2 linked regions of the Oryzias latipes genome follow. The protein of the gene in region 1 purifies or fractionates together with the protein of each later gene. This does not show direct contact. Links are inferred from orthologs where the notes say so. Each region holds a gene or a part of one and is shown in the gene's direction. Other genes may lie near its edges. The genes, in order: clstn1 and apba2.

Region 1 (4,587 bases):
TGTATCTCTTGTTGAGCTTTCATTTTCCTTACAGCATCAATAGACATTTGCTCCCAGCCCCTCCAGCCTTCTGTGTTAAAGAGGCTGCATGCTCCCACAATAACAGTACTGACGTCACTAGTATCATGCTGCCTTCATGTCTTCCTCTTAAGCTCTGGCCACTTGTGCATCAGGCCTGATATCACAAAAACTGAAATAAATAAATGGTATAGCATTTTTTTTATTGTCCCAATTTATCTTTCACTGCAATAAAAAAAACACACTTATTTTTATACTCTGAGTTCAAAGTTGACAGATTTTGCCCTGTAAAAATGGTTTTGCAATAGCAAACCTAAGATGATACTGTGAGTTCAAGATATGTGTATTCATAGATTAAAATGCATACTTGTGAATGAGAGGGATGTGCATATAAATAGATATATAGCGTACCCCTAGATATCCATGTAAATCTTTTCTGAAAAGATTTGCACAGGAATATGAATGTAAATTCTGTCCTTGGCAACACCCTGACATTTCATTATTTATGATGTGTCATGAAATGTGCATTAAGAACCCTTTACATAAATTCACATGTAACAGAACATTTTACTGGAATAAGAAAAAAGTGGAATAGATTGTGGACCTGTTGGTGAACAAGGGAAGGCTGTTTTTGTAGAGCTATTCTATAAATTGTGACATCAAACACAACAGTTGGACTCTGTCCTTCTATCAAACTGGACAGATGTTAATTTTCTCAGCTGTCTCACTGACACCTGAAGGCTTCCCAGACATGAGGAGTAACAGGAAGTTTTTTTCCTGACCTATATTTACTTTATTTTACTAAATCTGACTTTAGTTTACTGTCACCCTTTTAAGCTACTTCCATTTGTGTAAAACTGCCATAGAAGTCTTAATTAGGAAAATTAGGATTATTTTTCTGTTTTACATGTTATTGTTGTTAATATGTTATCATTGTTTATTTTTAGATTTGATCAGATTCGACTTTATTTAACTTTTTTTAACACAAATAAATAATAATTGAATACGTATTTTGATATGAGGTGGATATGAGTACAATGTAGAGGGTAGTACTACAGTTATTTGCAGATTTGATGATGTACAAGAATATATTGGTATTATTTATGTGTTTTTATATTTTGCATCTGTTCATGGTCATGGTCACATCTTATGTGTTTGGGACCCCAGTCTTGTATTTTTCCATTTTTTGTAGTTTTCAGCTCGTGTGCTAATAAATCTTGGAAAAATCCAAGATTTTCTGCTCTCCATAGGGTTAGTTAACTGCAGCATTGTTGTCATACCCCAGTTTTTAATTGGAGTGGAAATTCAGGTTTGGTTGCCAAAGACTCAAGGTAGCTTTTTTAATCGCAATAAACAACCATATTATAATAAATTTGAAAGATATCATAATAAGCTTGTTCTATTGTGACATAATGACTGGTGTTGTCTGTTTTAAGCACTCGTAATCGACTCTTAAATGCGTAGCTACTGGTCTTCTTCATTGCGCTAAAACGTGTCGGGCCGATTTCCAACGGTCCGTGAACGTCACAGGCTGCAAAACTGCGAGAGAAGCAGTGATTGAAGCAGAGCCGAGCGGCGGTGGTGAAGACGGCCATCTTAGAGCTGCCGCGGTCACCGACATCTACCTTTTTTGGGGGAGGATTTCTACTTTTCCTGTCAGAGAAGCTATACGCGGGGAGAAGGCTGCGTTTGACTTCGCTGAGGTTTAACTCGAGGTCGGGATGCGGTTCCTGGGGAATAAACAGCTAGCATCCGCTGTCGGACTGGTCCTCGGACTATTATGTGCGGTGAAGGCAGCTAAAGGTAACTAAGCCGGGATTTGGAACCCGTCGTGTCTTGTGTGACAACCTCATTTCTGATTTTAAAAGGCTGGAAAGTGAAGGTAGCGACCCCCACCCAGAACCCCCCGGGTTTGTCCAGACCCCGAAGGCTGACAGAAAAATATTAGCACCCGCGCGCGCCGCGCCGCGAGGGATGCTTGTTCAACCTGTTCAGGGATGGTCCTCCCCGTCAGTCAGTCAGTGCGGAGCAGCGGCAGACAGCGAGTCCTTACCAAGCCCGGCATCATAAAAACGTCTCCCAGCCACATTTCTCATTCACGTGTCACGTTTGGCACAAAATGTTAACGTGTTTTCAAAGGGGGTTAAACCAAGGGTACAAAACGACCCCCTAGTCTGTCATCTGCGTCTATTTGGGTCTATTCTGGTCGCTTCTTCACATTACACCCCCCCTTTTTTTTTTAAATAAAGAATTGAGCCTCGCCCTCCGCAGTTTGTGAATAGATTTCATCTGCCCTTGTTTTGTGCTATTTTATGTAATCGGAATGAACGCAGATGTTTTATTTTTGCTTTTTTTTTAACCCTTCACTGTTTTCCTATTCAGGTCGTAAATCTACATATATCTGTCATTTAACAGCCTAATCCTTGTGTTTGGAAACCCTGTGGACACTCAGGGGGATGAAGCGCATTGCAGATCCTCTTCACATGGTTATTTTCATCAATATTTATCTGCTTATGTGTTCAGATAAAATATAAAAATAAAAATCTGGACCTGAGCCTATTTATGGCCATGCAGTTAAAAATAGCTTGTCTGTCTACCTGTTTTTAGTTTTGCAAATGGACATCTCTTATTTATTTACTGCAGAGCTGTCCTCCCATAGGTTCTTGCTCAGTCATAACCCCCCACCCACCCCCACCCCCACCCCCACTGCACACGTTTATAGACACTTTTTACCCCCAAATCCATCCAGAGCCCAGGAGAGGCATCTGCTTCATACAGGGCGAGTCTATTACCCTTGTATGCCACAAGCCAGTGGGTTACATTCACTTTGTTGTTGCTTGTTTACAGATGTTACACCCTTTTTAATGTCCCGTGAGCAAAGTGCACAGCCAAACGTGGCCATAAAAGTCTGCACAAGGGCGAAAGTGGAGCCGCCGCCGTTTTACCTGCTCTTATCAGGAATTATGTGACGTCAACTCCAGTTTTCATAACCGAAGCTTTCCTGCTTGTTTCCTTCCTTATTCTACCAAATCTTGTTTTTAATTTCCAGCCGTCCGTCTGGCAGCAGATGAGGAGAGAGAACACTCAGTTCTTCTCTCGGCTCTTGTTCTGGAGTTTCGATGTTTTGAAAATAATTCGGTGCCATTGCTGCAGGTTAAGATAAAGAGTCGAGCTTTTTTATCGTGTCCTTGAAGCCTTCAGTAGTGTATTTGTGCTTCAAATACTTTTAAGGAGAACTTGGAACATCACTTGTTCTGTTTATTTTTTATTTTTTAACATTTATTTCCACAGTCTCATGAATGTAAATAAGTTTTCCGGTTATCTGGAGCAGCTGCTGGGTGCACCCATGTTTGTGCGTAAAGTTTAACGTCTGGTGAAATGCACAAGCTTCTTGTGTGCACGCCGTCAGACAAAGGACGCACCAGCGGCTGGGAAGTTTCTCGGCTCATTCATCATTGAATTAAGTTGATTCTAGTCAAACAAATTGGGTGCCCTGCTTTTGTGTGGGGCTGAATTAACATATGCACTCTTCCAAGACTGCTGGGGAAGACTGTGGGTCACACCCAGCAGTTTTCTCACAGTTCAGCTTATGAGAATGGCAGGAAAGATGAGGACGTCAGGTCTAGTTGATGCATTTTGTTGTCTTAGCTGATGCAAGAAAATACACTTTAATTCAAACAGAAACTGTGTTTTGCTTTGGCTTGAAAATCTATGTTGTTCTATTACAATCAAGTCGTTTTGCTTTAGTGTCCTTTAATGTCAAGTAGAAAGTCTGTTTTAAAGCTCAAACATTTATCAAGAAAAATAAACTGTAATTTGAAATGATCATGTGAAAGAAAAAAAATCCATCAGTGACCTTGAGAGCCCTTGACTGGACTACAGATGGCTCACATTTGCTGTGTGGAGCAGAATTCATCATCAGACTCTTTTAGCCTTCGAACTTGCCCCGAACTGTGTAGACCTCTTTTGACCTGATGGCAAGTCAGGAACTGAAGCTGCTCTTGAGTGACAGTGAGGCGTTATTTGCCTCTTCCAAGCAGGGTGAATGATATTTCTTGTGTTTCAACTCTTCGGCGTAAGTTTACATCAAGATTTGATGATCTTTGCAGTTCCTTCTTGCCTTCATCGGGTCAGGTTTAAAGACCCTCTCTGAGGAATTTTGTGTTTTTAATGTGTTCTTGTAGCATTTTTCTCATGTTAGAGGACATATATAAGAAAGTGAAGTTTGAAATTGCATTTCTGAGTGTTTCTTTATCCAAATTGAGGTGAATCAGGAGTAGATGAAAAAAATGGTTTTGGAAAAAAGAGCTTATTTGTGACATAGGAAATATGGCAGGTGGAGCACAAGGTTTCTGTTCTTATCCATTCCAGTGCATCCACTTGTACATGTCTATGTTTTCCTTTTCGGAGCTTACATCTGGCTCAAAATCGTACGGTTGGATAGCTCCAATATTGCTCGCCATTTTTTGCAGAACCAGTAATGCTAGGTTGAGGGTGTGAGGGGCTGTAAACTAACAGGAGAGCGTGTGCAGTGGTCGACCCATGATCGTACGATTGCAGGTTCGATTC
Region 2 (3,820 bases), on another chromosome or scaffold:
GATGGAGTTGGAAAGAAATTCAACACAAAAATACAATTAAATCTGTAAAAAAGGAGACTGTCACAATAAGCTATGTAAAATTATAATTTAGTTTTAACCAAAAAAAAATAATGTTTACAACCATTTCACAATCAGTATTCTGCAGGGTCTCAGCCTTTGTATTTTCAATCAATGCAAATTTATTTTATTTTCAGCTCTTTTAATAATGAGACTTCCTATTGAAGTGACATTTCCTTTCTATTATAGCTTTCCTTCTTGGCCGTCGGTTTTGATTTTATAAAAAGATTTTGGTCTAATTAAGCAGCTTATGCATATTTTGTATAATTTATACGCAATTTTTATGTAACTCTTACGCAATTGTGCGTGATTTTTGCAAGATGCATTCGAAAATTTGTGGCTTTCCGCGTATGTCTAACCATCTTACTACACATACATACCACAGATGTATAACTTTTAAATGCTGTATACGACGCAAATATGTTAAAATTACCTAATTGAGGCATGAATTTTGGGCCATATTTGGCTTTTACGTTGGGTTACGTGTTCTTTGCGTGGGTTATGTCTGTGATTTTAACGTGGTTCATTCATGATACATCTGCGAATAGCTTACTTAAAAACCACAACTTTTCTCATTTTTCCACATATATTTACATATGAGCAATTATGCATCCGTGCAATATGCGTAGAAGTGCGTAGTGGCTGTGGGACACTGCCTGAATTGGCCACTTCAAAGCAAAGTTTAAATTAAAGGGAAACAAAAAAGCCACTAAATGAGACACCGCCACAACAAGTGCAACCACAATTAGGGCAAGGATGATGTGACAAAACCCTCACAGGAAGCACAAATCAAAGCTCCATAAAAGGAACTATCCACAACAAAAATCTTCAGTAATGTTATTTCTTCTAATTTAATTCATTTCAACTAGTTACTGCACAAGCTAAAAAATTCTAAATTATAATAATTTACACTGGACAGGAGAATATCATTTGGGATTATTTCAATTTGTGGCCTTTTTTCAGCACTTTTTAAAAGAAATGGTGGTGTGTTACTAGTGTTAAACCTTAAATGAATCAGAAATAAAGCTAGAAAATCAATTGTGATTATGCTTAATGTTATTAGAGACATGTCTATTTTTCTCCCTGGAGCTGCAAGCTTAAAATACGGTGAATCTAGTTGCAGATGTGGCTACAACATCCTATATCCTGGAAGGTCTGTGTTTTATTTTCACCTTACTTCAGGCATACAGCTTAAAAATGGATGTACATTTTTAACATCCATGTAGGAGAAGGTGAGTCACTAAAAGCTTTTTTTCCAATTGAATAGCAAATTCTCTTTGCATGTTTATATTTAAATTTTTATGACTTTAAATTGTTGATTCTACAAGTTATTATTACTTATTAAACACCTTGAGTAAAATGGTTTTCAAATGTGCTCATGTCACTATATTCTTGTACAAGTTTGTAATTTTACTTTTTGTCAATTGTAAATTGTTGTTTGAATGCATGTTTTGCATTCATAGATAAATCCAGTGATGGTTACTTTCAGAGTAACAGAAACAACTTCAGCAAGTTTAGAAGATGAATTTGCCTTTGTTCATTAATGTAACATTTCTATAAATCCAGCGATTCACAGATACTGCAGCTGATTGATTTGCAGTTTTATACACCCTCAGACATTAATCCTTCCCTGTATGCTCTGCATTTCTAAATCTCTGACCAATGATAGATTGTTAAGCCTCGTGATTCCAGCTCTGCCCTGCAGTTATGTCATAGATTCCTGCTCCGATTTTGGAAATAAGCTGCAGGAACAATCATTTTTAAATTTAGAGTTTATATGTTATAAAAATGTGAGTTGCACATTGTTGTCCTACAGGTTTAAGTAATATTTCTGGTCTGAGCTGTAGCAGGGGACTCTATCTTCAAAATAAAAGTAAGCATCCAGCTGTTTGTCCCCAGTTGCAGCTAGAGAAGAGCAAAGGCGAGATCCTGGGGGTGGTGATCGTGGAGTCCGGCTGGGGCTCCATTCTGCCCACGGTCATCTTGGCCAACATGATGAACGGAGCGCCGGCTGCTCGCTCTGGCAAGCTCAGCATCGGAGACCAGATCATGTCCATCAACAACACCAGCCTCGTGGGGCTGCCACTCGCCACCTGTCAGGGAATCATTAAGGTGCAGAGAGAGAGAGGATGTGCAGTGTGCCTGCAGAGGGCTTTGAAGATTGTCTTCAGCAACATTTTCCGGTGAATTCCTGACATAGGTTGATGATGTGTGTCTCTTTAAAGGGCTTAAAGAACCAGGTGCAGGTAAAAATGAACATTGTCAGCTGTCCCCCTGTGACCACCGTCCTTATCAAGAGACCGGATCTGAAATATCAGCTGGGTTTCAGCGTCCAGAATGGCATTGTGAGGATATTTCACCTTTTAAAAATCTGCATTGAGCCAGACTTTCTGTCATTAACACCAGGAGTGTTTTTACCCCACTGACTGGTATTCAAGTGGATTCAGTTCCTACAGAATGACACAAGAACATTTTCTTTAAATTTCTTGAGCAGATATGCAGTTTGATGCGTGGAGGCATTGCAGAGCGAGGGGGGGTCCGCGTGGGTCACAGGATTATCGAGATCAACGGCCAGAGCGTGGTGGCCACAGCACACGAGAAGATTGTTCAGGCCCTCTCAAACTCCGTTGGCGAGGTTAGAGCGATCCTCACAAACCAAAATCCTCTTCCATTGGAAATTGGTTGTGTTGGAATTTCCTCATTACTTTCATGTTGTAAAGCTATCCAAATTCATAATTCCAAAATCCTGTGCCCTGGAAATTTCTCCAAAGTTTCTGCAAAAAAACAGTGTGTATTGATGCTCACTAAACTGGCAAATATGGACCACAGTGCATTGTGTTTGAGTGATTTTTCATTTAAAAAAATATTTTTTACAATTTTTTTATATCCATTATTTTTGTAAAGTTTTGATCATTAGAATTTATCATTAATAGTCCTTGTAAAATATTCATGTTTATTAGGTTTTTACTTTGGCAAATGGGTGATGTCGTATTTGCAATTTAAGAAATAAAAGAAGTTGTGAGCATGTGTTCAAGTTACGTTCAAATCCAGGGCACTATATAGTGTTTTAGTGGTTAGGGAGTAGTGAGGGCATTCAGACGTAGCCTAAGTGTTGGTATCCACACAAAAGCAGGAGGTATGCTAACCCCTGTTAAGCAGCTGATATGACTGTAATGACCCTTTAAAAAACGGTGCTAGGAAAATAAATCTAATTAAAGATTCATAGAATGGTATTGTAACTTTAATTTCAAATCAACCAATGAATTGGTTTAACAAATCACTGACAGAATAATCCATACATTTGGCATACCTACTTGTATTTTCTCTAATAAAAAGTAAAAAAAAAAGAAAAAAAAAATAATTCTTCTGGGACATTTTTCAGTAAAAATACTTGAATGTTTTCATCATCCACTATTTATCCAAAGAAAAAAAAAACCTAGAGACTGATTGTTCTGATCTGCACATTAGTGTAAACATCCAGAACCCAGCAGATGGAGTCACTGCTTCCACAGCTGGTTGGTGTCGATTTATCATGCAGCCTAACGATTAAACAGTAGCAGGTATGCTGGCTGGACTGGAAGGAGGTAAACTCACTCCTGCCCTGGAGCAAAAGAAGAAAATCCTGCATGCGTAGAAAGAGGATTAAGATTAAGATCAATTTGCAGTTTTTTTTATGTTTGGAAAAATTGAATGCAAATGTTCTATAAGGACTGAAAAGTGCAGTACGGGGTTACTTGTAAACACTTTCCGCACTGTTTAATTC

Evidence for each region.
Region 2: the proteins of clstn1 (region 1) and apba2 purify together in Homo sapiens (affinity purification with western blotting; 3 studies listed by BioGRID and IntAct, with this or other methods). This does not show direct contact. The link is inferred for Oryzias latipes from reciprocal best matches to the Homo sapiens genes CLSTN1 and APBA2.

What each region holds. Positions count from the first base shown.
Region 1 is NC_019865.2:9,963,486-9,968,072, reverse strand, and holds the start of clstn1 (calsyntenin-1), read left to right. Parts: upstream 1-1,559; 5' UTR 1,560-1,739; coding exon 1,740-1,821; intron 1,822-4,587. UniProt on the Homo sapiens protein: Postsynaptic adhesion molecule that binds to presynaptic neurexins to mediate both excitatory and inhibitory synapse formation.
Region 2 is NC_019861.2:18,690,045-18,693,864, reverse strand, and holds part of apba2 (amyloid-beta A4 precursor protein-binding family A member 2), read left to right. Parts: intron 1-1,956; coding exon 1,957-2,169; intron 2,170-2,282; coding exon 2,283-2,402; intron 2,403-2,551; coding exon 2,552-2,692; intron 2,693-3,820. UniProt on the Homo sapiens protein: Putative function in synaptic vesicle exocytosis by binding to STXBP1, an essential component of the synaptic vesicle exocytotic machinery. May modulate processing of the amyloid-beta precursor protein (APP) and hence formation of APP-beta.